Linked DNA regions of Arabidopsis thaliana. The protein of the gene in region 1 interacts with the protein of each later gene in a pairwise test. Each region holds a gene or a part of one and is shown on either strand. Other genes may lie near its edges.

The links.
Region 2: the proteins of CSP3 (region 1) and FLA16 interact in a two-hybrid assay, tested with the Arabidopsis thaliana proteins (one study listed by BioGRID).
Region 3: the proteins of CSP3 (region 1) and AT3G09690 interact in a two-hybrid assay, tested with the Arabidopsis thaliana proteins (one study listed by BioGRID).
Region 4: the proteins of CSP3 (region 1) and AVP1 interact in a two-hybrid assay, tested with the Arabidopsis thaliana proteins (one study listed by BioGRID).

What each region holds. Positions count from the first base shown.
Region 1 is NC_003071.7:7,761,864-7,768,943, reverse strand, and holds CSP3 (cold shock domain protein 3), read left to right. Parts: upstream 1-3,667; 5' UTR 3,668-3,762; coding exon 3,763-4,668; 3' UTR 4,669-5,416; downstream 5,417-7,080. Other genes in the region: AT2G17880 (Chaperone DnaJ-domain superfamily protein), read left to right, coding at 1,286-1,768; AT2G17860 (Pathogenesis-related thaumatin superfamily protein), read left to right, coding at 5,926-6,683, 6,860-6,866.
Region 2 is NC_003071.7:15,056,816-15,064,486, reverse strand, and holds FLA16 (FASCICLIN-like arabinogalactan protein 16 precursor), read right to left. Parts: upstream 4,725-7,671; 5' UTR 4,629-4,724; coding exon 3,350-4,628; intron 2,736-3,349; coding exon 2,677-2,735; 3' UTR 2,365-2,676; downstream 1-2,364. Other genes in the region: AT2G35880 (TPX2 (targeting protein for Xklp2) protein family), read left to right, coding at 29-109, 228-308, 387-477, 588-659, 754-861, 942-1,283; AT2G35850 (uncharacterized protein), read right to left, coding at 7,492-7,671. UniProt on the Arabidopsis thaliana protein: May be a cell surface adhesion protein.
Region 3 is NC_003074.8:2,968,694-2,976,994, reverse strand, and holds AT3G09690 (alpha/beta-Hydrolases superfamily protein), read right to left. Parts: upstream 5,183-8,301; 5' UTR 4,979-5,182; intron 4,822-4,978; exon of another isoform or gene 4,712-4,821; 5' UTR 4,640-4,711; coding exon 4,225-4,639; intron 3,967-4,224; coding exon 3,775-3,966; intron 3,678-3,774; coding exon 3,438-3,677; intron 3,324-3,437; coding exon 3,106-3,323; intron 3,008-3,105; coding exon 2,753-3,007; intron 2,667-2,752; coding exon 2,403-2,666; 3' UTR 2,152-2,402; downstream 1-2,151. Other genes in the region: IQD1 (IQ-domain 1), read left to right, coding at 1-161; AT3G09700 (Chaperone DnaJ-domain superfamily protein), read left to right, coding at 856-858, 1,145-1,323, 1,745-1,901; AT3G09680 (Ribosomal protein S12/S23 family protein), read left to right, coding at 6,704-6,708, 7,200-7,355, 7,449-7,575, 7,658-7,798; AT3G09670 (Tudor/PWWP/MBT superfamily protein), read right to left, coding at 8,178-8,301.
Region 4 is NC_003070.9:5,395,412-5,404,547, reverse strand, and holds AVP1 (Inorganic H pyrophosphatase family protein), read right to left. Parts: upstream 5,623-9,136; 5' UTR 5,434-5,622; coding exon 5,172-5,433; intron 4,974-5,171; coding exon 4,399-4,973; intron 4,312-4,398; coding exon 3,932-4,311; intron 3,832-3,931; coding exon 3,745-3,831; intron 3,664-3,744; coding exon 3,333-3,663; intron 3,203-3,332; coding exon 2,792-3,202; intron 2,711-2,791; coding exon 2,651-2,710; intron 2,570-2,650; coding exon 2,363-2,569; 3' UTR 2,029-2,362; downstream 1-2,028. Other genes in the region: AT1G15710 (prephenate dehydrogenase family protein), read right to left, coding at 1-43; ATPC2 (ATPase, F1 complex, gamma subunit protein), read left to right, coding at 759-1,919. UniProt on the Arabidopsis thaliana protein: Contributes to the transtonoplast (from cytosol to vacuole lumen) H(+)-electrochemical potential difference. It establishes a proton gradient of similar and often greater magnitude than the H(+)-ATPase on the same membrane.

The DNA.
Region 1 (7,080 bases):
CACTAATTAATGTTACAAAGTTTAGATATTTGTTTAGATTTTTTTTGCTATGAGATATTTGTATGTTCTATAATGTATATTAGTATATACATATGTAAACATAAACCTATACTTAATAATATATCTCTAAAATGCATAGAAAAGAATAAGATAAATATAATAAGAATATATAAATTTAAATATATGTATATATAGCGCTAGAAAATTAAAGTTTTAAATAAAATATCTGGTTTTCATTATTTAACACGATATGAAACAAATTTATATATAGATTTTAGACCGATGTCCCTAAATTGTAAAGTCCATATATTTTAGTTGATGGTTGAGGGGATCCTTCTCCCTTTTGATTACTAATCAGACTAATTGTTTGGTGGTTAGTGTAATTATTTGTAACACTAAACTTCTAAAAGCTAATTATGCAAGGCCTCTTGTTGTAACAATAAACAACCTTTAACAATAAAAATCTCAGAAGACACAAAAGAAAAAAAGAAGTCCATATATTTATTTAGTCCATATATTTCATACATATTGTATCATGATTCTATAGTGTCTGTTTACATTTTATGTATCTTTAAATTACACTGAATGGTTAAAAAGATACCGAATGGAAAATGAATGTATCTTTTTGGTATCAAAATATGAAACATCGTTGTCCTTTTAACTTTTCATATTTTTATTGATCTTTCCAACAGTATGGGTGATATTTCATATTAGTTAATAATAGTTACAACTTTAGTTAATAAGTAACTATCCGATTGAAACAAAGTAGATCAGTAATACAACTATATTTACCGATTTCTTCCGGATATTCGCTTAGGGATAACATTTAATCGAATGTTTTAAGTTTCATGAGTACCAAAACAAGAAAACAAATAATAACAATGTGAATAATAATGTTATCAAGTTTTGTTATATGATACCAAAAATAGAAAAATTTGGTAGATGACAATAATAACTTCATTGCCACTCTCAAGTTCGTTCGTTCGTTGAATCTTATCTCACTTCTCCCATTATTTACAACTGTGGATAAGCCTTTTAGTCTGACTCAGCTTTCTCAAGATCCGAAAACACACTGACCCAACCCGGTTCGATTTTGCTTAACCGGACAAGATACATTAATCTGCCTAATCTTCAATTATTTAAAAGCTAACTAAACGTTATACGTACTAATCACTTCTTCCCCTATAAATAAACCTTTCTAATTTCTCATCTCAAATCACACTGCATCACAAAACCCAAATCGGAACTTAAACCAAAAGACAAACAAAAACGCCGTCGTTTCACGATGCTTTCTTCTTCCCCAACCTTCTTCGCTACTCCATTTCTCTCTTCTTCTTCTTCTTCTTCTCCGTCGTTCTCTTCTACTTCACCACCGTCACGCATTTCCCGGATCTCGCCGTCGCTTTCTACAACCACCGCGTCCTACACCTGCGCCGAAGATCTACCGAGATTACGCCAAATCCCGCAGCGATTTTCAGCAACCGCGTCTCTCTACGAGATCCTTGAAATTCCCGTCGGCTCGACGAGTCAAGAGATCAAATCAGCTTACCGGCGACTAGCCAGGATCTGTCATCCCGATGTAGCGAGAAATAGTCGGGATAACTCGTCGGCGGACGATTTCATGAAGATCCACGCAGCGTATTGCACGCTTTCGGATCCCGAGAAACGCGCCGTTTATGATCGGAGGACTCTTCTTCGGAGCCGGCCGTTAACGGCTGGATACGGCAGTTACGGTGGACGGAATTGGGAAACCGATCAGTGCTGGTAGCGAGTTGACTCGATGTGTCGAGTTGGTCCAAAACCATTGAATTGGTTGTAATTAGAGCAAACCCAGAGATTCTGGGTGGTTGTGCCACGTAGGATCAACACGGTTTATCGTGCCACGTAGGATCTGTCGCGTTTTTAGCCTTTGTATCCATAAGTAGTAAGTAGTCTGTATTTAGTATTTACCATCTAATAAAGAAAATAAAAATTTATGTATAACTTAAAGTGTTCCAACTTAGCAATCAATAGTATGTAGCCTTGGAGAAACAGATTTTTTTTGTTACAGGTAAGATTTACATACTGAAATCATATAGCATTCTTAGAAAATTTTAGTTGTATTATGTTGTAGTCACCTAATTTAAAAAGCTGGGAGTGTTTTTTTTCTAGTCGCACAATCAGCCGACATCGACAATAAAAGAAAAGAAGATCTATGTCAAATAGTAACAAAAATACATAAATACATATATATGTAAAGATTTTAATACTGTTGCGGTGCGGTTTTGGGTGTGGTCTATGTTACCATTCATGGTCTTAGTCTATCGAAAGTTCGATAACGTTGTTTGCCTTGGTGGCAGTGAATTTTTTCCTGTCACGCGACTGTGAAAAGAGTAATTTTTAGAGACGTTACAATCGCATATCGTGAATTCCGATGTATGTGATATGTGTATGTGGAGGGTTACTGAGAGTTTTTTCTATGGGCGTTATAAACATTTTTAGTTTGAACGTTGTGCAATCAACTAGGTATGCATGCATGGGTTAATTTTATGATTCTAATTTTTTTGGGTAAAAGTTATATAAATAACGGTATTTCAAAGAGTTAACATTGGGTCAAATTTCTTGCTCAGAATTTCAGAGTTATACTAACATGACGTTTATGATGATAATAATTATAGTCAATTTAAATTGCCTTCACCAGGGCCACCAAAATAGCTAAGCAAATACGACAGACAAGGTTCTTTTCTTCTCGTCATCATAATCCATGTGTCACTCTTGTTTCAACATGCCATGTTCTGGAACATTTGCATCTCACGAATCTTTCATAATATTTACAAAAAAAAACTCATATTCTTTTCACATATATATAACTATTTTAAATGTGAACAAAAAAAAAGTAATTATAAATTCACTATTGTCATTAAAAGAAAAATAAATAAAAAAAGGAACTCTTGTCATTTTCTTAAGTATAGCATTGTCATGACAAAAGCTATGCTGTCCATAAACAATGGGAAGCAGAAGATTGTTGATGTTCGACACCATACATTATCAAAATATATAATATATATATATATATAATAGACGATAGATATCCAATAATTAGTTTAAGTAATTGGGATGTTCTTTTTTTCTTGCTTCTAGAAGAAAATATGATCGAATCATTTTTTTCTTCACAATTGAACTTCGGATAATATCATCCATGTATTGGTTCATTGAATTAAAAAAGTGAGCTGGGATATTGAAAATTTGGATGCAAAATAAGTTGCATAAAAATAGATATAATATCAAAATATAATATATTGTTTAGATAAAACAACCAAAAGTGTGAAACACTTTCTCTTCTAGTAGAAGTATAACATAATAATCTAAATCATGTCATATTTACTTTAGATTTACTATGAATATCCCTTTCTTTTTGCAAAAAGTGATAATTATAGACTGCATTTTCATCCAATTCCCAGAGTTTGGGGATGGTTAAGAGATGATAAAACATCTCAAGCATTTTTTTTAAAGTTAGTGTGAAATCAAACCTTATCAATTTTGCTTAGTTCTTTTGAAACTCTTACATAAATAGGCCCATTTCATTATGTGAACCATGGGCCTGATCCAAAATGCACACGTGGTAACTGCCGCCGATAGAGAAGGAGCTGACGTGGCGAATTTAAGGTCAATTTGGGGTTAATAGATCTAGCAAGTAGCAATTTAGGGTTTTCATTTTACCCATTTCCTCTCTTTGTACGAACAAAGTGCTTCGAGTTTTTGTTAACCTTTTTCTCTGATCTAATGGCGATGGAAGATCAATCGGCGGCGAGATCTATCGGAAAAGTTAGTTGGTTTAGCGATGGAAAAGGCTACGGTTTCATTACTCCCGATGATGGCGGCGAAGAGCTTTTTGTTCATCAATCCTCAATTGTCTCCGATGGATTCCGTAGCTTGACTCTTGGTGAATCGGTTGAATACGAAATCGCGCTTGGAAGCGACGGAAAGACTAAGGCCATTGAAGTTACTGCTCCCGGCGGCGGTTCACTTAATAAGAAGGAAAACAGCTCCCGTGGATCCGGAGGTAATTGTTTTAATTGCGGTGAGGTTGGTCATATGGCTAAGGATTGTGACGGTGGAAGTGGTGGGAAAAGCTTTGGAGGTGGTGGTGGTCGTAGATCTGGCGGCGAAGGTGAATGTTACATGTGTGGTGATGTGGGACACTTCGCTAGGGATTGTAGGCAAAGCGGTGGTGGAAACAGCGGCGGAGGAGGAGGAGGTGGTCGTCCGTGTTACAGTTGCGGTGAGGTTGGTCATTTGGCAAAGGATTGTCGTGGTGGTTCTGGTGGAAACAGATACGGAGGAGGTGGTGGTCGTGGATCTGGCGGTGATGGATGCTACATGTGTGGTGGTGTGGGACATTTCGCTAGGGATTGTAGGCAAAACGGCGGTGGAAACGTTGGAGGTGGTGGAAGCACTTGTTATACCTGTGGCGGAGTTGGCCACATTGCGAAAGTTTGCACCAGCAAGATACCTTCTGGTGGTGGTGGTGGTGGTCGTGCTTGTTACGAATGTGGAGGAACTGGCCATTTGGCTCGTGACTGTGATCGGAGAGGAAGTGGAAGCAGCGGAGGTGGCGGTGGCAGTAACAAGTGCTTCATCTGCGGCAAGGAAGGTCACTTTGCGAGGGAATGTACTTCGGTTGCTTAACAAAAAGATGCAAAGAAGAAGAGTAATGTTCATAAACCTCTTTTGTTTTCTATTAAAATCTACCTAATGCTCCTTTTTGGTGACTATAATGTGATTGCTAAAGTCGTTTAGGATGTTTAAGAATGGTTGTTTTGGGAGTTTTTGATCTCTCTATATTACTCTTTTGACTGGTTTATGCAACCTGTTCACTGCTTTTGTTGATGCCATAAGTTTGAGATCTTGAATGATATGTGTGCTTGCTTATTTACAGTTTCTTGTCTTTCCTTGCAATGAGTGTGATTGTATGACTTGAAAATTCAATCTGTTATGGTCACTTCTGTTATATACCAAGATTTGAGACTTTTTTTTACTAACTTGTAAATACAAAGAGATGAGTCACAAGTCTTTCTTGGTTCCTCTTTGTTGGAGAGCTTAAAGATTTTCCTGTAACTGGTTTACTTATACTCTGCATTGCTGTTTTTCTTGTTCTTGATGAAACAGAGATATTAGCTTAAGAATAATCTTTTGATATTTTAGATTACTTAGATCTTGTTTTAGGAGAATCTCCTGAACAGAGGAGAGACATGGTGTGCGTGATCTTGTAGTGCCTATGCCTGTTCGTCAGTTCGTGGTTTCTTTTTCTCTACTTACCGTGATGTTTTAAGAAGATGATGAAGTTAATCCCGTTAGTTTTTTTTAACCTAATTACACTTGTGATTAGCTGAATCTTTCGGATATAAACATTTGGATCCCACGTGTTCTGTTATTGGAAGTGACTTGATCTTTCTTAACATATACAAAGACAAGCTTCTAATGTCCAACACCTCCTTTATTTCCGTTAATACAAAATCCCACCAATTCCAGTACAATTAACTTACTACACAACACCATACATGTCTCTTTCCTATCAAAGTCTTTAAACTAAATAACTTTTTCCTTAACAAACAAAAGAGAGCTTTTTCCTCCTCTAACCTTTATCTAAATTTCTAGTTTTGAATTTAGGAAGAGATCCTCAACAAATAGTTATAAAAAAAAAATGTATAATTTTCGAAAAGGATAACAAGTATACTAGCTTGATTCGTAATTTCCATTTCACAAGTATTAATGAGAATATTGAAATAAAGGAAATGATGAGTGAACATGTATCGGATTCTGTAATGGCAAAACTCATATAGGGAAAATTGATATTATGAAACTTTCCATAACACAAATCCCCGATTCTCTTATATAAACACGATCCCTAACTTCTCCTGAATCATACAACATCAAACGGTAACAATGGATTTGGCTAAAGTCTCTTGCTTTCTCTTAGCGATTATGTTTTTCATCAATGGTGGTTCCTCCACCACGTTCACCATCGTTAACCAGTGTAACTACACCGTCTGGCCGGGACTTCTCTCCGGCGCCGGCACCGCTCCATTACCCACCACTGGTTTCTCCCTCAACTCCTTTGAGTCACGACTCATCTCCATACCCGCCGCTTGGTCCGGCCGCATATGGGGACGCACGCTCTGCAACCAAAACGAAATCACCGGAATATTCACTTGCGTCACCGGCGACTGCGGCTCATCCCAAATCGAATGCTCTGGCGCAGGAGCAATCCCTCCAGCTACACTAGCCGAATTCACACTCAACGGCGCCGAAAATCTAGATTTCTACGACGTTAGCCTCGTCGATGGTTACAACATCCCAATGACGATCGTTCCTTACGGCGGAGCTATCGGAGTCGGTAAGTGTAACGCAACGGGTTGCGCGGCGGATCTCAACGGCTTATGTCCGGAGCAGCTGAAAGTAACGGTTGAAGCGGCTGGAACGGGTGCTGTGGCGTGCAAGAGCGCTTGTGAGGCGTTTGGAACGCCGGAGTTTTGTTGTAACGGCGCGTTTGGAACGCCGGACACGTGTCAGCCGAGTGAGTACTCTGTTTTCTTTAAGAAAACTTGTCCGACGGCTTATAGTTACGCTTATGACGACGGCACAAGCACTTTTACTTGCTCCGGTGCTGATTACGTCATCACTTTCTGTCCTTCTCCTTCAAGGTAATATTTTTGCTACTGAATTTACTAAATAAGGAAAGTAATATTCGAAAAATGTTAATTTTAGTGTTTTTTGGTAATTTTAATGAATCTTAGATTATTCAAAATTCATATTTTGGAAGTTTTGTTAACTGTTTTATATATTTTTGTTGTTGTTGTTGTGTTTTGAATTAGTGAAGACTTTGAGAAGAGTGTGTCTCCGCCTCTGCAACCGGAAGCAGTTAGCGTCTCTGACGCGTCAAGTAGAATCTCAGTTGCGTTATCATTGGTCGTTTTGGCTGTTGCGGTTTCTTGGGTGTGGAGTGGACTTTGGTGATATTCAATACGGCACCGACCTTTTTTTTTTCTTTTTCTTTTGTCTTTTTGTTCATTCTGTTTTTTCAAACTAAAATTGTTAAAC
Region 2 (7,671 bases), 7.3 Mb from region 1:
CTAAACTGTTCTCCCGCGGCATTTTCAGATTAGGAGATGAAGGTTCTAAATCCATCAAAGAAGAAACTGCGGGGAAGGATGTCGAGGAGGCTGGATCAACCACCGCTGTGTAAGTTCTTTCTTTACCTTGTTTTTGGCATGTTTCCGTTAGTTTTTAATGTGAAAATGTGGCTGTAGATTACAGAAGTAAAACATATGTAAAAGTGTTTGCATCTGTAATTTTACAGGGTGGCAGATAAAGTATCTAACCCGTTGAAAGCTGAAATGGCAAGCAAGGACGACGAAGACACTCGTTCAACTACCACTTCGTATGCAGTTTCTTCATGATCTTCCATGTTTATTAATGATATATGTATCTCTATATATAATGTTTGGATGTTCAACAGAACTTCTACACCTCGTGGGCGGAGAAGCAGTGTTGGATCGGCATCTGGATTTTCGTTCAGGTTGGAGGAACGGGCTGAAAAACGGAAGGAGGTTGCTGCTAATTCTCATTCTCTATTCTTACAACATTTTCATTCTAACTTTTTCAAGTAAGTTTTTGTTTCTTCCTAACTTGTGTCTCCTTTGTCGGGTTTACCTTTCAGTTTTATATGAAACTAGAAGAGAAGATCCATGCAAAGGAAGTAGAGAAGACCAATTTGCAGGCGAAATCAAAGGTAAGCTTTATAAGACTCTTCTATAATGGAAGAAAACTCTTATTGGTCTGTGACATTTGTCATTTTTTGGGTTAAATGGATTGTGTTTGTTTAGGAGAGCCAGGAAGAAGAGATCAAAAGGTTGAGGAAGAGCTTGACGTTCAAGGCTGGTCCCATGCCCAGTTTCTACAAAGAACCCCCACCTAAGGTTGAATTGAAGAAGGTTTGCTTCTTTCTCTTCCTATGTGATCAAACTTGTGCTACACTATTTTTCTTATACCGTGCTCCATGAAAATGTTGCAGATACCAACTACTCGTCCTAAGTCTCCAAAGCTAGGACGCAGAAAGAGTAGCAGTGATGCAACAGGAGGTGAAGCCGCTCCTCGCGTGACAAAACCAAAAGACTCATCATCATCTACAGTGAAGAAACCAATAACAAAGTCTCAGCCAAAGCTTGAAACTCAAGAGAAATCAGTGAAGGCCAAAGAAAAGAAAAAGAAAGTGAAGAAAGAAGAAGCAGAGAAGAGAGGAGAAGAAGAGAAGGCTACTGCCGTGGCTGCGAAACCTGAAGAGCAGAAACCAAACTCCAATAACATCCAAGTGAAGGCTGAGATAATGGCGAGTGAGGTTGTAGTGGGAGGCTGAAGCAAAGAGAGCATTCAGCAGCGATGTCTAATGTCTGCTTCTTTTTTTCTTTCTTAAAGCATTAATGTGAATAGAGTTGTTGCATTGCGTCTACTTTTTTAAGAGTTTATACTTCATTCCTTCAGTTTATTTTTTGGAAAATTAAGCCTCGATTGCTTCTTAAGATGGTCTCAAATGTGTTGAACTCAAATATGTATCACGAGCATAGATATGTGTGAATTTGAAGTGTATAACAGTGGTGAGTTGTGCAAATAATTAATGTCTAAGGAGAGGCTAGTGGGGTCTTTATTTACAGCTGAGGTTTACTAAGGTCAGCTACAAATATCGATCCTTGTGGGGTATTCCGTATTTGCGACATGTTTTGTGGTGAATATGAGATCATGCTTTAGATCTACATTTCACAAACTTGAAATACTGTAATTCCTTGATTAGTTTTTCACCTTTTGTAATATCAAAACACATCATAACGTTTGACTTTGACTTACTATTAGATAGTTTTGTGAAATTCCAGAGAAAGAATTTAGTGATACATTCATTTGCAAAAGACTAGAGAGAATCAGGCTTTTAATACATGAGGACAAAAGCCACACCACAGCTCACCTGCCCTCGTGGCCAGTGCCCACTTACTCTTGTAATATCTTCTCTCACCGTCTTAATAGTAACATTAAAGATTCGTGTCCTAGGCTGTGAAATATATCATTCATCATCTCGCTGTAAAACATACATAGAAAAGTTCTTTTTTGTTTTAAAAAGCAAATAGTTCTCCAAAGAGTTTAATCATGTGAAATTTAGCTGTTTATATGTAATATGCCCAATTAATTACTGTTGATCTGAATACTTAATTCTCCTTTGTGTTTGGTTGGTTACACACAAGAATATTGTTATAATTTTTTTGCAAAGAATAAATAAATACGCTGACTTTATGACCAAGGTGAATAAATGTACATTATGCTAATTGATGTATACCATTATGTACATTGCAACTACCATTTCCAATCACACATTTTATATGCAACAAATATGTGACAGACATTTTCTATTTACAGAATTAGATATCAATAATTGATAGGAGAGAATGGAATAGAATAGAATAGGCACACAAATGGATCCTTCCTTTATTATTTCCATACAGATTGTATAACTTGTATTACATATTTGATTTCTCTAAACTCCTAGAACTTTTTTACTCACCCCCAAATAACAAACTTAATCAAAATCTACGTATATATATATATATATTTATGATAATAAAAAAATTACAAATAGAACATGCAAATAACAACGAACCCAAAAATCACATCATTTACATATTCAACTCTTTCTTTTTTTTTTCCACATGTTTACAGAATTAAGAATTTGGAAGCTTGGAATTTTTTTTTGATAACGTGTGAAATCACTGACACGGAATAAACCGTGACCCCATCATTCTACAAGCTACCTCCATCAATTTACCTGCATATATTATCATATCATCAGTAACTTTAATCAATGATTAAGTGCAAATGAATATATGATTAGAAACAAAACCCAAAAGACCAGAAAAAAAAGAGTTTGGTTTGGGTTTTAGTGAAAATTTAGACAAGCTGTCGTTAACGAACCAATGTGTCTCAATCACAGCTTGTCTTTTATAAAGAACAAATAAAAATCATTTTCCTTAATTTAATGATAATATGGGATTATTCGTCGGTGGGTTAAAGAATTAAAAAGAATAAAAGTAAGCGGAATATTAAAAAACAAAATTTGTTAAGAGAGTTTTGTCTTCATTCTCTCACAAGTCTCTACTTTATTCCAAATCCCACATGTTTTCTTACTTCTACTCTCATTATACGACCAAATTCATGGCTGCTAAGTGCTAATCTATGTGATTAATGTTTCATTCCACACATAAAGTTTAGTACAGTAATAAACTAATAAATGTTAGAATAAGAATTTTTGACACTCAATGACACAAAACAATGATGAATTTTTGTGTTTAGATGTCAATGTCAAATATTTATTGACCGAATAATTAGCGTCTAAAAATAATCGTAACAAAAAGAGTAAAGAAATGGAAAATTTATCTTTACCTCTTCTTGATTTAGAAACTTTCTTAACGACCGGAGCAGCTGGTTTAATCTCCGTCGCCGGCGTTTCCTCCTTCGGGAACAAGACTCCATCAATACCCTGAACTGAAATCCGACCGTCCGTGTAGATATCAGGATCAAACAAGTAAGCTGAACCATCACCGTGTCCGAATTTGACAGATCCATCAGCTTCTTGAGCCAACACTTTATGTGGGAATCTCAATGAATCATACTTCACTTTTCCGAATCTCCGAACAGCGTTGTACATACTCTCCTCTGTTTGATACTCCGGTATGATGTGGTAATACATAATTTGTTCAGGAGCACCTGGCTCGCTAAGCTGGTCCGTTGTGAGCTTAGCCATGGCTTCGTCGTTAGGAGCAAGAACGGTTAAAACGTAGCCTTCTGACACGAGTCGACCCATCTCAGTGGCTAAAGAGGTTAAGTTGACGAGTATATCAGCCATCTCGTTGTAGCCACCGTAATGCAAGAGAGTGTGGATGAAATCTTTAACTTGAGCATCGCCGTTGAAATGGCCACGTGGACCACCGGGTCCGGGAGCTGGAGCAGGAGCTAGGGAAGGACCTGGTGACATAGCGTCGTAGATTGGAAGAACCGGAGGAGCTCCGGCGGGAACGGCGGGAGATGGTTTCTTGAGACGGTGAGTTCTAGGGTCAACCTCAGGAGCTCCTTCTGGTATAACGGCGGAGATTGAACGGAGACTACGACGGCGGTTAAAATCTTCTTGAACAGAGCGAGGGATGAGAAGACGTTCGATGCCGTGAATGATACCATCGGGTCTAATGACGTCATCGGGTCGGATAATCTCAGCGGAATCTACTTTAAGAGTGTTGACGTCGACGGTGAGGTGGAGATGGTCGTTGGAGAGAGTACGGTGGTGATGAGAAAGAGAAGGCCATTGAGGAGAAGTGATTCGTTTAGGAAGAATGTGGAACATTAATAAAGATTGTAAAGATTTGAGGTTTCTTGGTTCGAGCAAGAAAGATTTGAAGAGTGGGTCTAAGTTTCGTTCCAAGGCATCGTTGCGTGGTGCGAAGATTGTGATGTTGTGTTTACCAACTGCTTCTTCGAGGGTCTGGAGAAGGAGAGCTTTTTCGACTAGTTCTGCTAGCTCTGTGTAGTGAGAGTCCAGGAGAGCTACGAGGACTGAGTTTGAGTTTATTTGACCCGGTACTGGTTTGTTATCGGGTAATGCGGTCGCAATGGAGGTGGTGAGGAAGAGGAGGAGAAGGAACTTTGTGGCGCCATAGGAGGAATCCATGGCGGTGGAGAGAGAGAGAGAGAGGGGAAAGAAGTGTCGGCACAATGAAGAAAGAAAAATGGTTTGGTGTTTTTTTGCTTGTGAAGAAGGAGAGAGAGAGAAAGAGAGATTCTGATGCTGATGTGAAGTTTCTTCTTTCTTTCATTAAAATTTTAATTTTTGAGTGGGTGTGTTTTTTGCATATTTTATTTTATATTTTTGGTAAGGGTAAAAAGTTGGGTCTACACGAGAAGCAAAGGTTATGTGTCGTGTCAAGTTGTTTGGCTTATGCCTAACTCGGAGCCTCTCTCTCAGACAAAAGGTTTTTACTTGCTTCTGTTGAACAACTCAGCACTATGCCTCTGTCTTCGAGCCTCGTGTCGTGTTCTGACTCGGTCGATATCTGAACTTCACTTGAAGTTAGAACTTTCCATCTTTGTATTTTTTCTTGTAAACAACAGATCAAAACGTACGACTCAAACAATTGTAAATCCAATTATTAGCTGCAATGTGTGCTATTTACTATGATTAACTATTATACAACATATGTTGTCACGTTGAAATTTGATTTGCATTTCGAATTTTAAAATACTATGGTACTACTTATGCTTCATTGATACAACAAAATTCCATTCTTCGTGGCCACTTCTTTTGTTAATAAATTCTTGAGACTTTATCTTTTGTACAACCATTGAGACACAAAAACTACGTTAGGTGATTAGTTAGCAAAATAGATAAATCAAATTCGTTTTCAGAGGCTCGGCCACCAACGTACGTGGATCCAATCATTTATATTTTATATGACGGTCGATCGGTTCATTATTCCAAAACCAAAAGATTATTAGTCAAATATTTCAGTAAATTGTTAAAGATTTATCGATTGGTTTGTATGTCATAATAACTCTCATGCCGTCATCGTCTGTGAGCTTCCATATATTGTATCTTTTTTTCATGGGTTTCCTCTTTGTCATTCTTTACAAACTTTTTGTTTGTTTGTCCATATTCTCAAGATACTAAAAATCATTTACTTAGCTTAAAATCATTCATTTTTAAATTGCTCCAGTCGAACACATGCGAAGTTTTCTCTGGATGTACTAGAAGAAAGCCTAATAAGTGAATCTTCGGTGATAAACATAGTCGAATGTTATAGCATTGTTAAAAGTGTTTATGAAATGAAGTTACATTGTAATCCATTTTCGTGGGTGAAATTATAGAGAAACCCCTATCCAAATGACTTATAGTTTATACTTTCTAGACCCATGAGTCTCATATAGCAATAAACAACACATTTTATTTTACTACATATTGAAATCATTGTAAGAAAACCAGTGAAGGAAGGTAAGATGTCTTTAGTCTAAATGTATCGATTAAAACTTTTGATCTAACATTGTGTCATTTTTCAAGAATCTTTGTTTAAAAGACTTAAGACAAATACATCCAACATAAATCTAATTTTATCTTTTTATCCTATATATCACACATAAATATGTCGTCATAATGAATAAAACACACATCTTGTGATGGGGATCTACATCTACTTGATCAATAAAATGAATATACAAGTTACAAGTTTTGTGAGACAGATGTAAAACAAGTTTTTACCTTTTACGCAAAAGTCATAACGTATGATTTGCTAATGGTACGTGTGGTGAAAAAGCGCGTAAAAAGTCGTAACGTATGATTTGATAATATAAAAATAAATCTCGTTTTGGATCAAATAAAATAATTTTTTTAATAAAACTCGTTTTCGACGTTAATAAATGATCTGAAACGGCGACGTTTCTCCTGCCGTTAGATTTGCCATCGCCGTCGAACCGACACTGTCTTTGGTAGTTGGCTTTCTTCTTTGATTCGAAGCTCCGTTCCCAGTCAGTCCCACCAACATTATATAGAGAAGAAAAACATTTATTGGTATTCATTTTAATATTTTCAATTTCTTGATATTAAATTTGGCCATAGAGCTCCTCCTCACTCGTAACAGAAACGGAATTCTTCACTATTAAGTTTTTCTTAATCATTTTAATTTATTAGGTGTCAATATATATGATTCCATTATTTCGAAAAGAAAAGTCAATTGGTGATTTAAAAGGTTTTTTTCTATTAGAGAAAGAATATAAATTTGACAATAATTGAGAAAAAGCATGCATTGTATATAAACTTTTAGGGTAGATGCGAGATGCATGGCCATTCGAGATATTATGAAGATCTTGTAATATGACATTATTAATCAAAGTATCCCTGCAATTAATTTACCATTGATTCATACTAATTCATTCTTATAAAATTAAAGATTGATAGGACAAATATAAATTCACGTCCTTACATTGGTATGTTGTAGTTACTAATTTATATTGTTTACCTAACTAGAAACCCATTTATGGTTTCAGGGGTACTGTTAGGCGGCACTGTTTCTAGCAGTGATGATTGATCGACTATTAGATTGTTAATCGACCAGGATTTGTATTACTATCGTTGTAAGTCATAATCCATATTTTAACCAATGCATGTTGTTGGAGAAAAAAACAAAAAAGAAGCTAAATATATGTTCTCCCCAAAAATGTAAACTCCAAATCTGCCTGGGCTTTATACCAAAAGCCCAAGTACTACGTCATCTTGAATCTTTCTTTTGGCTGGTTCTAATTAATACGCTAGTGTACCAATTTTGGCTGGTACTAATTATACGCTACTCGAGATACGAATGAGAACATCAACAACACATCTACATCTACGTCCATTGACAACTTGGCATAATAAAAAAAAAAAGACATGGAATGGGGTATGTGGTCCGGTCTAGCTCCTAATTTTGTGAAGAGCGGTGTACACTTAATATTTACCAAATAAGGAAAACAAATACACAGAAAAATTCATGTGTTGAATGTTGACTTCATCTTTCATCCTCCAACTTTGATGATTTGCGAAAACTCCGGCGATACTCTTCGTTGTTCCCTGACGGCTCCACCATATCTTCTGCAAAGCTCACTTTCTTTTTCTTTTTCTTTCTTTCCTTAGTAGGAGGTTCGAGCTTGTCCATGTAACCAGAGAGGAGACGCTTGTGAAGCTGAGC
Region 3 (8,301 bases), on another chromosome or scaffold:
CGGTGACCACATCCACAACAGAGGAAAGCAGTATATTACCGGAGAAAGCACCAGCAAAGAAACGGCTCTCCACCTCGGCTTCACCTGCACCCAAACCCAGACGATCCTCCGCCCCGCCAAAGGTGGAAAAAGGCGTTCTCAAGGCAGAGAGAACGCCGTGACCAACCGAGGTATAGTAATTCATCATTATATGATTTTTTGTCGCAATGAATATGGAGTTATGAGATTGTGTATCAAGTATAAGCAATGTTGGTTACAAGAAAGTGTTACGTTGATTCATTTGTGCAGTGTAAGTCTCTCTATTGTTTATTTCACTCTTTCATATATTAAAGAAAACTAGAATAATACTTACAACTTGAAGAACTCTCTTGTAGTCTTGTGTCATTATGATCGTGTTGGCAGTGAAACGCATATTTTGTTGACGTTGCCAACTACTTCTTCATTCTCAACTCTCTATTAGTTCTATTCAAGATTTTAACACCAAGTTTTTGAAAGATAAAGAGTATACACAACTCTCAGTACTAATGGATGCAAACTAAATGTAACTGATCCGAATTTAAACCATACCAAAATTATTGATTTGATAAAACCGAATCCAAGAGAAAATAAACCGGTTCTGTTTTTATTTTTTTCCATATCGAAAGAAATCTAAAACCCACTAAAAGAGTTAGAAGGTTTCGACTACTATTTACGCAACGCAACCAACCTATCTGGGCCAAGTCCAAGCAAACCAGGAAATAGCTAAAACCCTAATCCTCAAATTGATCGACAAAATCGAACACTGAAGAGTTGTTTCCTATCAGATCAGATCGTGTTTATTTTCAGTACACTGTCTAGCTCAAATCCTCTACAACAATGGTAAGTTTGCCTGCGTATGTTCTTCTTTCGGGGTTCTCTACAATTTCCACTCTTTACTGTTTTTGCTGATTGATTTTGGAAAAATGATTTGATGATATTTCAAAGCATCCCTTTGATTCGATTAGGGTTTCTAAAAGAATCCTCCTTTTTTAGAGCTTCTGCTTTTATTTTTGCTCATTTGTGTTTGGGGTTTGTGTCAGTATCAGAGTGTTTTTTCTATGGTTTACTCTGTTTCATCTTGTCTGACGTATGGAATAATATTCTTCGCTTCTCGTATGCTCTCCAGGTTGCAGCGATAATTGCAGGCGCTGCTGTTGCTGCTGCTGCTTATGCTGGTAAATATGGAATAGAGGCATGGCAAGCGTTTAAGCTGAGACCAGTTAGGCCTAGAATGCGAAAATTCTATGAAGGTGGTTTCCAAGCTACTATGAATCGAAGAGAAGCTGCTCTAATTCTCGGTGTTAGGTACCTTTCTTTCTGTCTTTAGAGTTTAGCCTCTCACTACAAATGATACTAGTGGTCTTGGGACTTTTGTTTTAAATAAGGTTTCTCTTCTGCTAGTTTTGTAAAGTCTCCGCTGTGTAAATGATTTGAAATAGGCGGTATGGTTTCTCACACTAGTCCTCCTCGAGGGACTCCTCCTGTTCTTAAATATATCTTCATCTTTGGCTAGTCATAGGGGAGTTTCTTTCTGACTCTTTCATTTTTGGTAGAATTGGTAAATGATCATTTATAGGCAGTAGGTATGCCACACTAGTTTTTAACAAGTTTGCATAGGGGCCAAACTATGTTCTTACACAAGGGTAAATGGTTTGCATATGTTTAGTGGTGGTTTTTGCGACATTATTATGGCTTGATGAGTTTGTCACTTGTGGTGTTTGAATAGGGAGAGTGTAGCGGCAGAGAAGGTGAAGGAAGCTCACCGTAGAGTGATGGTGGCTAATCATCCAGATGCAGGAGGAAGCCATTACCTTGCGTCTAAGATCAATGAAGCCAAAGACATGATGCTTGGAAAAACCAAGAACTCTGGTTCTGCGTTTTGAAACCCTTTGGGTGAGGTCGATTGATCCCAACCACAAAGCCATGTGGCCTAGTTTCGAGTAGTTAGTCTAGATCGTTCTCTTTAAGCAATAACCATTAGATTGATTGATCCTATCAAGCCATGTAGTTCCAAGTTATTGGTCTAGTTCATTTTTTTATCATGATGATGTATAACGTGGGTATTTAACTTTTTCAGCGTGAGAAATATATAAACCAAACTGAAAATGAGTCTAGTCGGATTCTGGTTTTGTTCAAACATAAAACTATAAGAAGAAAAAAATATTGCATTTCCAATTAAGGGATAGCCGCTTTAATAAAATGTTCTTTCACTTGCACTCTTTGCAGTGCCAAATGTACTCTCAAAATGAACTCTGCTTTGTTATAACCTATAGAATCTGAAATCTTCAACCAAAGCAGAGGACTAAATCATCTTCTTGGTGTTATTTACACATTTCTCCATAATGGAACGAAGACCAAGAACAACGTGTTCCTATAGTTCTTTTTTACTTACTCTTTGGTAGTGAGCTACTGTCAGATAAACCTGTCTTTGGTTGATCCGGTCTATGGGTTTCCGTTCTTTGTTCCAATAACTCTACCGGGCCCTTTGGTTCTCCAAATATGGCCGAAAAGATCTGCGTGTGGCACTCATCACAGAGATAGAAGTAAGAGAAGTGGCCTTCGTTTGGGAGTCTATGTACCGTTGCTTCTGGTATGACTCGACTAATGTAATCTGTCACTGAAGGTGGAGTGACTCGGTCGTCCATACCCTATGTGACCACAAGCAAAATGAGTAACTCACAACTTGACAAAGGTGATCTTGTAGATGGCGGTTTTAAGTGTGATTTCAACAAACCTGCCATATGTGTATAGGTTTCCGAAAACCAATTAGTTCACATTCGGATTCACTGTACATTGACATTAGCCAAGAGAGGACGCCATTGGTTCTACACTTCTTCTGCATGTGGAACTCGGGAAGACTAAAGCCCCAATTTGATACCTGTAATGCGGCTTCTTCCACAAATGGTTTTGCAGTTCCTTGGCGTACAGACTCCTCCACATTCCTTTGGTAAAGATCTTCAAAAACTGGATCTGCGGTTACAAGTTTGTCCTGAAATAGAAAAGTGGTGTATACAGGTTTAGCTTGTGAGCCATAACTCACAAAGACTCAAAACCTTGGGAAGAAACACTTGATGAATACAGACTTACCTTTTCTCCTAATGACACTGACATCCACTTATCCAGCGGCTCGAGATTACCAGAGAGAAAGGACCTACGGTAGGAGAAAGGAAGAAGACTTGGCCACCGACGTGCTAAGAAGTACATGAATTTCCTCTTTCGTTGCCACTGCTCCCACGTTTTTGCCATCTCTTCCTTTGTCATGCTTGGCTCATATGGATTTATCATAGGCGCTACCATGGCAACTCCTGTAGATTTATAAAAATCAATACCTTCCCATATTATTTTGTGTCATTCTGTGAAAAACATGAGTTGGCCATGAATTGTGAATTTTCAAATTTTATCCAAAAAATTGAAGGTACCAGCTATTTGGTCCGGAAAATATCTCATTGCAGCCCAGGCATGCACACTACCACTGGAATAGCCGAGTAACCAGAACTTGTCAACAATCCCTAGAGCAGCAGCTAGGTCAATCATATCCGAGGCAGATGAGCTAAGGTTCCGAGCACGATGGGGATCACTCTCTCCAAACCCTGGAAGATCATATGACACTAGACGAACACCATAGTCCTTGAGCAATGATTCTTTTACTCCAGGTATACCTTGATAAGATAATGTTGAAACAGTAGAAGCAAATCAGATGTAATTGCATCATTAAAAGTAAGCTGAAGCTGAAACAAGGAGCTTATTTGATCATACCTGCAAGCCGAGAGGAAAGAAAAGAATGAGGAACAATTAGAGAGTGTCTAGCTCTGTCAGCTGAAACACCAAGCTCCTGGTAAGCTAAATATCTACCATCTGGAAGCTGTACACGGCTTGCACTAGTAGGATGCAGACGGATTTTCTTCAACAAAGGGACAGATCTATCATGGTCTGAACTAAAACTCAATGCTGCACTTAAAAGTTGGATATGTCAGAGTAAGGATACAAGCCTCTCTTGCACCAACGAGAATCTATTCAAGACTGCCACTTAAACCAATATCTAAGCAGAATCAAGTTAACTACATACAACAACCTCAAAAAATTCTATAAGGTTCATCCCAATACACAGTTTTCTAGCAGACATTTTGAATAACTGTTCATTATAAGAGTGTGGCATTGCAGATACATAATGGTGATCCAAAACCAGAAAACTGTTTGATAATATACCTGTGAGAGCTAGGAGGAAGACGAAGAAAATCACAGGCCAAGCATGAACAGGATCACGATCCTCAGGCAAGTACTCGTTAAGGAAGCTAAGCTTCTTCGAAACCTTAGCAGCTGGTTTCCGGAGCTTCCTTACAACGAAAGAGTCGTCGGTCACCACCATCTGCTGCACAACGTCTTTGCATCCGATTGCGAGATCCATAAGCATTTCTCCCCAAGACTTCATAAACCCCGTCACTTGATCTTTCAAACTCTCCACTGATTCGGATCCAGAACCCGACTCGAAACCCGAACTCTTTGACCTCGATTCAGTATCCGCCGTCAAATCAATCGGAGATCCGTCGTATTGTAAACCTCCGTCCATGAGACTAGCTAACTCGTCTTGCCACGTAGGCACTCCTCTTCGCATCTCCTCCATTATCAAAACGAAATCCCTAAATCCCAAGTCAGGACCAACTCTTCAGAGCAACAAGACGAAGAAGAAGAAGACCTGAACATACATTAAAGTGGGTTCTTATGAGCAAAGAGAAGAAAACACAAAGAGCGCGAGAGAGAAGAACATGGCGATAATGAGCTGCAAAACTGACACCTTTACAAGCGTGAACTTCAAGCTCACTTTTTTTCTTGACAAATATATATAAAAATTACTTCTTTCTAATTAAAATAACTCAAAGAGAATAATTTCAATAACGAATCAAAATCTTTCTCCCTTTTTTTTTGCATTAGAGAAATCGAAAGAGACAAAAGCTTCACTTACCAAATGACGCAGAAACAGCTTAGACGTCGTTGATAATCATGGTCACCAATCTATCTTCTTCCATTGAACATTTTTGCAATATTCTACCTTGATTTAGGACTGGTTATTGTCAAAGAAATTTACTCCAGTCCGCCATTGACGATCCACGATCCTTTTCCTGATTTTTTTGTATTTTACCGGTTGAATAAACAAATAAGGACCGTCAGATCAAGATCGCTTTTTTAAGAAAATGGACGGTCTTGCATGTCGTTTATCGACGCAGAGTACCGGCTGAACCGGTGCGTGTCGCGCGCTTCCTTATGCTTAGCTTTGTGTGCCTTTTACCTGCTACAACCGGTTTCGTTTTCTGACGTGGCGGATAGTGTGGGAGTCGTGGGCTAGTAGGTGCACCGTGCACGTGACTAGGACTGGAATGTTTCAATGCAGCGTATACGGTATTACGGGAAAAATGTCGTTTTATACGTAAACTTTCAAAAAGTGACCATTTAATACGTGAATTTTTTGTGTGGCCAAATAAAACATAATAAAAATGTTGACCGGTCGTTTCACACAAATGTTATTGTTGACCAGGCCAAAATCCCCATACCGTTATCTTTTTCTAACGGATACGTTAATTCCGTTACCACACGTTAATTAGTTTCCTGTAATACTCAAAACGACGTCATTTCATTGAAATCAAAAAATCAAAATTCCCAAATTGATTTCAAAATCCCTAAATTCCAAAATGGAATCCAATTCATTTTTCTTCAATCCATCTGCTTCACATGGCAACATCATGTTCTTCTTTAGGAATCTCAATCCCGTTGTCCAAGGTTCTTTTCTCACTCTCATAATCTTATTTCATCATGTTGGAAGTTTCCCTGTTTTTGTTTTGTTGTCTTGTGAATAAAATGTTACGAACACACACACATGAGAACCAATTTGAATATGAATAATAACATTCGACTATTGACAGCAGTTGTTCGTTTGAATTCACGAAGGGGGAGGAACAAGATCGATGATGAACAAGGAGGAAACATCAAAGCGAAGGCCCTTCTTTAGCTCTCTTGAGGATCTTTACGACGATGACTATTACGACGACCAATTGCTGAAAATAAGAGGCTGTTAGGGATTTGGTTTTTAGAATTTAGGGATTTGATTTTTGGAATTTAGGAATTAAGGATTTGTTTTTTTGGAATTTAGAGATTTTGAAATCAATTTTAGGAATTTTGATTTTTTGATTTCAATAAAACGACGTCGTTTTGAGTATTGACGGAAACTAATTAACATGTGTTAACGGAATTAACGGATCCGTTAATGAAAGATAACGGCATGGAGACTTTGGCGTAGTCAACAATAATATTTGTGTGAAACGGCCGGTCAACGTTTTTATTATGTTTTATTTGGCCACACAAAAATTTTCGTATTAAATGGCCATTTTTTAAAGTTCACGTATAAAACGACATTTTTCCCGTATTATTACCTTAAGGAGTTGGCATAATATTTGGGTTGACATGTGATGGGCCTTCTTGTTAAGCCCAAATATAAAAATAATCATTTGCCGTTTAATCAATTTCATTGCAGACCGGTTAATGCCTAAACCAGGGCTCTCACGAGTCTTGACCCAAGCCTATATATACCTATTTTCTTATCACTAGGGTTTTTCAATCTCTCACGAACTTAAAACGTCGCGCCTTTAGCAGTTTCAGCTCATCTCTCGACTTTTTCACTCGCGCCGTCGTCAACATGGGGTACGGTATCCTCTCTTAGACTCTTTATGTTTCAGTCTCATCTCTCCGCTTATAAGTGATCGTGTTTTTGTTATGTCGGGTTTAGGATTTGTTTTATGTTTTTTTTGTTTATTCCGGTTTCTCTTTGGTGCCTTGCCGTTTTCGTTATCTCGGGTCGGGATGGTTGAATTAAGGGATTTGAATGACATTCATACGTCGTGTAGTAATACTTTGTTAATCACCCTGTTGAAGCTACGAAGTTGCTATAATTCGTAGTTTTTTCTTATAAACGTTGGAGTTATTTGGTCTGAAATGTGGAAATTATGATTATGATTTTTGATTTTTTTCCTTACTACACTCTCCTCTTGTGTTAAGTATTTGTGATTTAGATTATAACTTTATGTTCTTTATCAACTCCGAATTTGTTTTATATGTTCTGAGTGAGTTGATTTCATCTGATGAAATGTCCTTTGGTTCTCAATTTCTTTTATCTTCTATTTGAATATCTTCAGTAAGACACGTGGTATGGGAGCTGGTCGCAAGCTTAAGCAGCTTCGGATTACTCAGAGGTGGGCGGACAAGCATTACAAGAAGTCTAATCGAGGCAACGAGTGGAAGAAGCCTTTTGCTTGTTCTTCTCACGCTAAAGGAATCGTTCTTGAGAAAATGTAAGTTTGTATAAACATATATATTTACCATTTCTTGATTTTGTTAGTAGTATAGATCTTGACTTTGATGAGACTCTGTGTTTGATTATGCAGTGGTATTGAGGCTAAGCAGCCTAACTCTGCTATCCGTAAGTGTGCTAGAGTTCAGTTGATCAAGAATGGTAAAAAGATTGCTGCCTTTGTCCCCAATGATGGTTGTTTGAACTACATTGAAGAAAATGTAAGTTAGATTGACATCTACTTTTGAATGAGTAATCAAATTATATTCTTACCAATTACTCATTCATTGATACTGTGTGTAGGACGAGGTGTTGATTGCTGGATTTGGGCGTAAAGGTCATGCCGTCGGAGATATTCCCGGAGTTAGGTTCAAAGTGGTGAAGGTCTCTGGTGTCTCACTCTTGGCCCTTTTCAAGGAAAAGAAGGAGAAGCCTAGGTCTTGAGCTCTACTACATTTTATGAATTTTTTTTGATATTTGAAGGCATGTCTATGTACTTATTCAGTGACATCTCTTATTCTATTTTCCTCCGAGTTGAGGTTAATTTTGTTTGGATTCTAATTTATTTATTCAAATTCATAATTAGTTTTGGATTCAAATGAATTATTGACCATTAAATTGCACAAATCTGGAAAAACAAAAATAACTTTGTTACATTCTCTCACTAGTGTTTGTTCAACTCTGATTAAATCATACAATTCTAAACTTTGAAAGAGAAGAGAATCCATCTAAAAGGTATATTCCACTCTTGGGTACTAACAAGAACCGGACTCGATTTTAGAAAGATCTGTATTAGTGGGTTAGACGCTGATGCTGAGCCTTCCTACTCTGCAGAAACATCTTCCTTGCAACTATCAGATCCACCAGAGCAGTTCTTGTTACTCGGCTGCTCTCTCAAGTCCAAGCCACTGATTTTCTCCCCGGTTAGATTGCTGTCCATAATAGAT
Region 4 (9,136 bases), on another chromosome or scaffold:
GTGGAGAAATGAGGGGTTTCGCCGGAGAGAAATGGAGTAGCATTGTGAGTAGTGTTGATTGAGTTTTAGCTCCAAAGTTGGGAGCTTAGAGAAATCTGTGAGAATAGAAGAGGAAGAAGCGGTTGCGCCAAAGGAGGAAGAAGATGCGAGCGAGCCTCAAAAATAAACGGATCAATTTTATGTCGTGGCCTAAACGTGGTGATGCTGATTGACCCAAGAAAAACAAAATGCTAAATACACAACAACACAAGGACCATAATGGAAATAAAAAATTGAGGTCAAAATTAAAAGTCGTTCCAAGGAAATTTGTAGGTACTGTTTTGTATTCATTTGTATTTAGTAACCCGCATTTACAATATTTCTTTTTCTGAAGGACTAGAGTTTTTATTTGTCCATAATTTTATTTTGATTTGTTACTTTAAAGTTCAATCTCTTCCTATATATGAATCTTTAAAAAGAAAATTTCGTAATTTTCATATGCTGACTATAGTTGTTGTTTTTTGGTTTTCTATTAATTTGGCTATTTGTAGTAATTTTTATTAGGATTTAGGAGGGTTATTGATATTTCCCTCGTTTTTCTCATAGAAAAAAAAAAACAAAAACTCTAATTTTGACTTTTGTAGTAATTTTTATATACTGACCCCTAATAAACATGATAATTACAGAAAACCCCTCAAGTTCTCTTTCTTTGCTCATTTCTTCACGAGAAGATGAAATCTTAAACCTCTCAAGTTCAGGGTCTTCTTTCCCAAACGAAAATGACAGGTTCGATCTCGACCTCTTGGCTCTTGTCGTCTCCTTCGAATTCGAATTCGGCTTCGAGCTCAGAGTCCTACTCTTTCATAGCTACCTTGAAACCAGTTCGTTATTATCCGTTTCAATCACTGACACCAAACCGGATTTCGTCGAGATCTCCGTTGCCCTCAATTCAAATTCGAGCTGGAATCCGAGAGTTACGAGAACGAATCGACAGTGTGAAGAATACCCAGAAGATAACGGAAGCGATGAGACTCGTGGCGGCAGCTAGAGTTCGTCGAGCTCAAGATGCAGTCATAAAGGGTAGACCTTTCACTGAAACTCTTGTGGAGATTCTCTACTCAATTAACCAATCTGCTCAATTAGAAGACATTGATTTTCCTCTGAGCATTGTTAGACCCGTGAAGAGAGTTGCTTTGGTTGTTGTTACTGGCGATAAAGGATTGTGTGGTGGTTTCAACAATGCAGTGACCAAGAAAGCTACTCTGCGAGTTCAAGAGTTGAAGCAGAGAGGAATAGACTGTGTTGTGATAAGTGTAGGTAAGAAAGGGAATGCTTATTTTAGTCGGAGAGATGAATTTGATGTTGATAAATGTATTGAAGGAGGAGGTGTTTTCCCAACGACTAAAGAAGCTCAAGTTATTGCAGATGATGTGTTTTCCTTGTTTGTCAGTGAAGAGGTTGATAAAGTTGAGCTTGTTTACACAAAGTTTGTGTCTTTGGTGAAATCTGATCCTGTGATCCACACTCTGTTGCCTTTGTCGATGAAAGGAGAGTCTTGTGATGTGAAAGGTGAGTGTGTTGATGCTATCGAGGATGAGATGTTTAGGCTAACGAGCAAAGATGGGAAGTTAGCTGTGGAAAGGACCAAGCTTGAAGTTGAGAAGCCTGAGATCTCACCGTTGATGCAGTTTGAGCAAGACCCTGTTCAGATTCTTGATGCAATGATGCCTTTGTATCTCAACAGTCAGATTCTAAGAGCACTGCAGGAATCTTTAGCGAGTGAGCTTGCGTCGAGGATGAATGCGATGAGTAATGCGACTGATAATGCGGTTGAATTGAAGAAGAATCTGACGATGGCTTATAACCGAGCGAGACAGGCTAAGATCACTGGGGAGTTGCTGGAGATTGTGGCTGGAGCAGAAGCTCTTCGAGAGTCTTAGGTAGAAACTACAGCTGTGTAAAATCATTTGTTGTTTGTGGTAATAAATGTCATGAAAGAATTTACAGATCATGAGAAATTGAGAATCGTTTACACCTAACGCCGACAAAAGACTAACAGTAACAATAAATTCCAATTATGTCTCGAAGAAGACAACCAATTTAGGAAATATAAGCAGCAGAAAGTAACGGCTAAAACAAGTCTCGACCGAATACTTGGTGGATTTCTAAATTCTAAACAGAACAAAAAGAAAACAGAAAGACAGAGAGTGAGAGAAAGAAACATCATTTGGTTGGTTCTTTAAATGAGCCTCATCAACAAAAAAGGTTTTTTAACCACCTACGGTAAACGAAAATAAGAATGGTAAAAAAGAAAGTTTAGAATCGATCGCCATCATCATCTTCTTCTTCTTCATCATCGTCATCTTCTTCCCTCGGATTGAGTTTAGAAGTACTTGAAAAGGATACCACCGTGAGTGGCGAAGAAGGGAGCAAAGACAAGAGACTCAACAGCCATGAGCTTGATGAGGATGTTCAATGAAGGTCCTGAAGTATCCTTCAATGGGTCTCCAATTGTGTCTCCAATCACAGCTGCCTTGTGTGGCTCTGAACCCTTTGGTCCAAGGCTCTTTGCGTGCTCTGATACACCAGCCTGCGAATATATAACAATGCTTAAGGATTTGACTTCATATTTTCAAATGGTTTGATTTAAGCTACAAGAAAATTCCATTACCTCGATGTATTTCTTGGCGTTGTCCCAGGCACCACCAGTGTTAGATGCTGATATGGCGATCTGAATAGAATAAACAGAGAGCATCGATGAGCATTTTTTTTAAGAATAGTTATTCACAATTGAATTGAGAATATACTTTACCTGAACACCGGATACAAGAGATCCGGCGAGGACACCAGAGAGGGTCTCAACTCCAAAGAAGAAACCAACAATGAGAGGTGTGAGCATGACAAGGCAACCAGGAGGTATCATTTCCTTGATGGAAGCATCGGTGGAGATCTTGACACATGTGGCGTAGTCTGGTTTTGCGGTTCCTTCCATAAGTCCAGGGATGGTGTTGAACTGCCTGCGAACTTCTTCAACCATCTTAAGAGCTGCACTTCCCACACTCTTCATTGTCATGGCAGAGAACCAGTAAGGAAGCATGGCACCAACAAGGAGCCCAATGATAACTTTAGGGGTCAAAACATCTACGGTGTGGATCCCTGCACGGCTCACAAAGGCACCAAAGAGAGCCAAGGAGACTAGGGCAGCAGAGCCAATGGCAAATCCCTGTACACAACAAACCAGAATAACATGTCAAAATACAACACAAGCAAAGGCAACCTGAGGAATGGTTCAAGCAAGCAAGCTCTTTTATTAATTCATCGGATTGCAGAAAGAGGTTAAGAAGGCTCCATACCTTTCCAATAGCAGCAGTGGTGTTTCCAGCGGCATCAAGAGCATCAGTTCTTTCACGGATGCGGTGGCTCATTCCAGCCATTTCAGCAATACCACCAGCATTGTCACTGATGGGACCATAAGCATCAATTGCCAAACCAGTGGCAATGGTACTGAGCATACCAAGAGCAGCAACAGCAACACCATACATAGCAGCAAAGCTGAAGCTAACGAATATACTGATAGCAATAGCAAAGATTGGAATAATGACGGATTTGTAACCAAGAGCAAGGCCGAAGATAACATTGGTAGCTGCACCAGTTCTGCATGAATCTGCAACATCTTGCACAGGGCTGCAAGAATAGGAGGACATAAGAGTTAGCTCTACTAGCTGGGAAAAGTTAGTGACTAAATACAGCTAAAATGAGTCTTACCTGTAGGCGTTACTAGTGTAGTACTCAGTGACGAAACCAATAATGAGTCCAGCCCAAAGACCAACACAAACACAAAGGAATAGCTGCCTGAAATCCAAAATAATGCAAGACTTAAAAAAGTGCAACGAGAAATTTGAATAGAGAAATGCAGGAAAAAAACAAAAGCAATCATCCACAAGGAAATTACCAGTTCTTGACAACTTTTTGTGTTCCAAAGTTGAAGATGGTAAAGGAGGTCGGTAAGCCAACCCATGACACAATAGCAATACCAACAGTCATAATAACAGTTGAGATAATGAGCTGGTTCTTCAATGCTGGTTCAATCTCCTTGACAAGCTTAATCTCAAAGAAGTCAGTGGCAAAGAGAGTTGTGATCAAACAAACCAAGATTCCCATTGAACTGATGAGCAATGGGTAGCACATGGCAGTGAAGTCGTGGTTGATTCCGAAAGATGAGATCGAGGCAACAACAAGAGCAGCGCATGATGCTTCAGCATATGATCCAAAGAGATCAGATCCCATACCAGCAATGTCACCAACATTGTCACCGACATTATCAGCAATGACCTGTAACATAACCAACCAAAATAAGTCTTAACTTCTATTGAAAAAAAGAAAGCAAAGTGTTATCACACAGTGAAATGGTGTACTTACAGCTGGGTTTCTTGGATCATCCTCTGGAATATTCCTCTCAATTTTACCGACAAGGTCAGCGCCGACATCAGCAGCCTTAGTGTAGATCCCACCACCAACACGGCCAAAGAGAGCCATGGAAGACCCACCAAGACCATAACCAGTAATAGCCTCAAAAAGACCTTCCCAGTCATCTCCGTAATAGATCTTGAACACATTGATAGTAATGTAAAGCACCAATAGACCACTCGCTGCAAGAAGGAAACCCATCACAGCACCAGACCTGAATGCAACAATGAACGCCTTTCCAACACCTTTCCTCGCCTCCAAAGTGGTCCTAGCATTAGCGTATGTAGCAATCTTCATCCCAAGGAAACCAGATAGAACAGAGGTAACAGCACCAAGCACGAAAGCAATGGTACTGAAAGCTGCAGTAGCCAATGCAGGCTTGCAGGTTCTGGTGGTGTCGTAAGTACAAGGCTTGTTATCAGTGCTGAATCCCTCAACAGAGCCGAGGAAAACAAAGATAACAGCAGCAAAGAAAATCATGAAGACACCAACATATTTGTACTCCGTGAATAGGAATGAAGTTGCACCTGTCCCCACAACAACCAAACAGATCCCAATATTATTCACTCAGAAAACACACATCATCTCAGATTTCACAAGATACTGAATTAGTAATTTCAACGTTCTAACAATCCAAAACATCATCAAACAACCACCAATCAAAAAACAGAGCCAGATCTAAAAACAGAACAGTGAGATCTGAATAAAGTATCAATAGATCTTACCTTCGGAAATAGCAGTCTGAATCTCAGCGCACTTAGCGACAACACTCTGGTCATTAACACCTTCCTCTTCCTCGATTAGATAATCACCGTATCCATTCTTCCCATTGTTAGCTCCACCGGAAGACGATGCGCCGAGGTCAGAGGTGAGTTTCACGCGAGATACAACGTACCATTGGAAAAGCGAAAAGGCGATACCAATCACCGCACAAATCGGTACAAGGATCTCCGTCCAGAGCTCCGGTAACAAAGCAGGCGCCACCATCTTCTCTCCTCCGTATAAGAGAAAAACAAATAAAAACAAATAAACAAAAGAAAGAGAACCGCTTCGCGCGAGAGAGAGAACACAGAACACACACAGAGAGAGAGGTGAAGAAGAAAATGAGGCGTAAATAGGTGAGGATATCGTGTCGTTATATAAGACTAGCTCTCTCCTTCTTCTCTTTGGATGCTCCCATCCAGAAAGATAGATGGAATCCGGTACGGTTGGGTACACGGTTTTTACGCTACACCATCAGAACTCATTTACGCGCGTGTTGACTACGCTCTATTTGTCCGAATTTAGATTCATCCTCATCTATCCGGTAGTTGTCGGACACGACAGCAAAGTAAAGCTTGAGTTCATCTTGGTCGTTGAGTTTAGGGCGAAAGACACCTACTACGTGTTGATCGATGCGTTTTTAGCCGTCGGATCTGGAAGTACATGATTAGTACTTTTCGGGTTTTGTAGTCAATCCCCCTTCGTGGTAGAAAATTAATTTAGTTAGGTGAAGATTATGATTTATCTGATCCATATGGTATATTCTGAGTATTTACCAAATCGGGTGTATTTTGGTCTAAAATATATCATTTAATTCTCTCTTCCTATTTTACAAAGATGGATTCAGTGTACATATTATCAAATATGGATAAATAGTAAAGAGCTTTGAACAATAAAAAAAGAAGATATAGTTAAGAGCCTAAATCATTTTGTATTAATTTCATGATTAGGATAAATGGAAATACGTAGTTAAAATATCAGGGTTTTTAATTGTTTAAATGAAAGCCATAGTGAAAAATCTAACCCTTTAATTAAAACAGGCCATCTGTATAAAATTGTTAATTTACCAATCCACGATATATAAATGCTTGCCATAAACTTTATTGGGGTAAAGTAAATGCTTGCTATAATTGTAAAAGCTATGATTAACAATAACAAAATTCTCATTTATGTAGGATTAAATTTGAGGATTTGACTCTCTTTTTTTGGCAAAGAGATAAAACTACATCCGTGTGCTGATTAATATCTACGTGTCAGATAAAGCAAAAAAGAAAAATGCAAAGCAAAAAAAAAAAAAAAAAACTTTTCAGTTTACGATGAAATTTAAAGTGGAATAAAAACTCGTATTCGTCTCTAATGTGAATCGATTCTATAGTACTTTCACAAATTCGATTCGACGTTGTACTAAATTATTTTTGGCATTTGTTCGATTAGGTTAGATTCCAATACTTTTTCATTTTAATCTCATCTTCATACGATACGAGACAGTCGTGTAAGAAGATACAGTGCACCAAACCGTACATAGATATTGCCAGTGAATACAAAATTGAAGAAGTTTGTGAGAGAGGAGGATATATCGGAGGGCCTTTTCGAACGGCTGACGTAATTAAGTGTATTGAATGGTGTGCAACCCTCCAATCGGATAAATACCTTTTTATATATAAAATAAAATATCTTAACCAAAAAATTATTTTGTGGAATTTTCTTAGCATTTAATTGTGTTTTTTTTGGGTACTCAGTGAGTACTAGTGACCACTCATGCTTTATCTTTGTTCCCTTTTGCAGGTTGCTAATGAATCTCGAAAAAATTATTATCATGTAAAGGAAATCTTTCCTAGTTTTGTGGCTGACATACTTTTATCTTTCAATCACGATTTAGTTTCCATTTCTTTCTAAATTATATAATATCATTCATGGCCTAAAGGTTTATCCAAGTGGTGACTGGTGTGGTAAACGTAGAATTCAAACCAATCCACCTAATTAAAGTTAAAACAATAATTGAATTAGAAAGAGGCGAATGATTTTACACGGTAAGATTTGTGACTTTCCATGATATATGATTAGATTATCGTCGTCGTCGTAATTATAATGTTTTCTATTTAGCCTCACCAAAATTTGGTGACATCTCAATGTTTATAGTTGTATATTGACAATGCTATAAGGCGTTGATGAGTATCAATCGAATTAGTTAAACGTTTATGAATTACTCAATTAGAACGAAAAAGACACTGTAGTAGAAGATATAGTTAAATAGTTGAACTGTTTTCCATAGATAACTTGTACCGATTAATTTCATTTAACAGTCACGGACGAGTCATTTGCTTATAGGCAAATCTATGAATTATTTGATATTTTTTATGTGAATTATATTTTAATAACATATGGTGCTTTATTTATACTTTTTATCGATTTAGTTCAGTGTCAGATATTTATTGGTATCTAAAACCGTATAAAGATCTGGAATATTAGTATTTTATTATATTGCATAATGGAGTAATATAGGCAGCAAATCAAATCTTGTAAAAATAATCATTTGTTTATGTTATCGCTTTATCTTGAAGAGAGAAGAAGGAAGAGAAGAGTGGGATGCACCAACAAGTGACATTGCAAGAGTTAAGGAGCGGTCCCATAATATTCCTGCGGGTAAGTGGGAACCATTTGCCACCTCAAATAGATCGCGACCCTTGGATTGGTGGGTGTGTTGTATGGGTCCCTCTGATCCAACGTTCAATATCTTCCCCTCTAAACAATTTCTTCTGATTCGGGTCTCACCGACACAAGTCCGAGCAATATGTTTTCTCAGTTGTCTCATGCCAGAATCATAGTTAACAACTTTGTAAAAAGAAACTAAAATAATCTATTAGGGTTAATTAAACTCTAATTATCTTATTCGGAATTGGAAATAGGTACAGCTTGTTTTTCTGATGTAAACCCCAAAATGTTTGTCCCTCTTCTTCTTTTGTTTTTGTTATGTAGTTTATCAGAGAAAGGGAAATGACAGGTAATATATGGAATATTCGAGATTCGTTGGCATTTGAAGAAATGCCCGCCAAACCATTTTATTCGTTTATTTATATCTAGACTAGACCACTCCTCCCGGCTCCCTCCATATCTCAGACCTTTTGAATGGGCCTCTATCTGACCATATATGGGCTTTGACCCAAATATTTGAGATTTAGTGACATTTTCTTAGTATCAGCTCTAAGAACCAGGGGCCCATAACCAAAGGGAGCACAAACATTTTTTTTCTCTTTGAGCATCGCCAATAAAAAAAAAATATGTTCAAGTATAAGAAAAAAGAAGAAAAATAATATTAAATATAAATTCATATATATTTGTATTTCTTTAAAGCTTAACGTAATTCTTCTTTTTGTAAATTTGTTGATTAAATACACCAACAATTTCAAAAAAAAAATGATTTATTGGGCTAAATCCTTTATTTTTTGTAAATGATGTTTTTTATGTGTTTATTCTTATAAAAAAAAATGATTTCAATATATAAGTGTCCAGTTTTGTTTTTTTTTGTTTTGTTTTTTGTTTTTTTGTCTCTGAACCTTGCATATGTTTGAGCATGCGCTAAATTGCATCGAGGAAACGTTACCAAAAACGATCTTTATCTTCCTTTTTCTTGCTCGTTTATGGTCTAACTCCCATACTAGTTTATCTGAGCCTCCATAGATTCGTGCTTTGAGACCTTCGATGAGGGAAGAATCTTGACTCCACTCGCCGACCTGAATTTCATTAATTTGAAAGTGTCTCGGTGATCGGTTTCGTGCATGCGACATCGATGGAATCTTTGCCGGTGGTTGAGATCTCTTTTGCGGTCGCTGTGACGGCGGAGAAGGTTCTCTCTCTTTCCGACATCCAGTCGTATGTGTGGAAGCAAAAGAGATTCAAAAAAACTATTAAGAGCAAGACCCACGAGCTA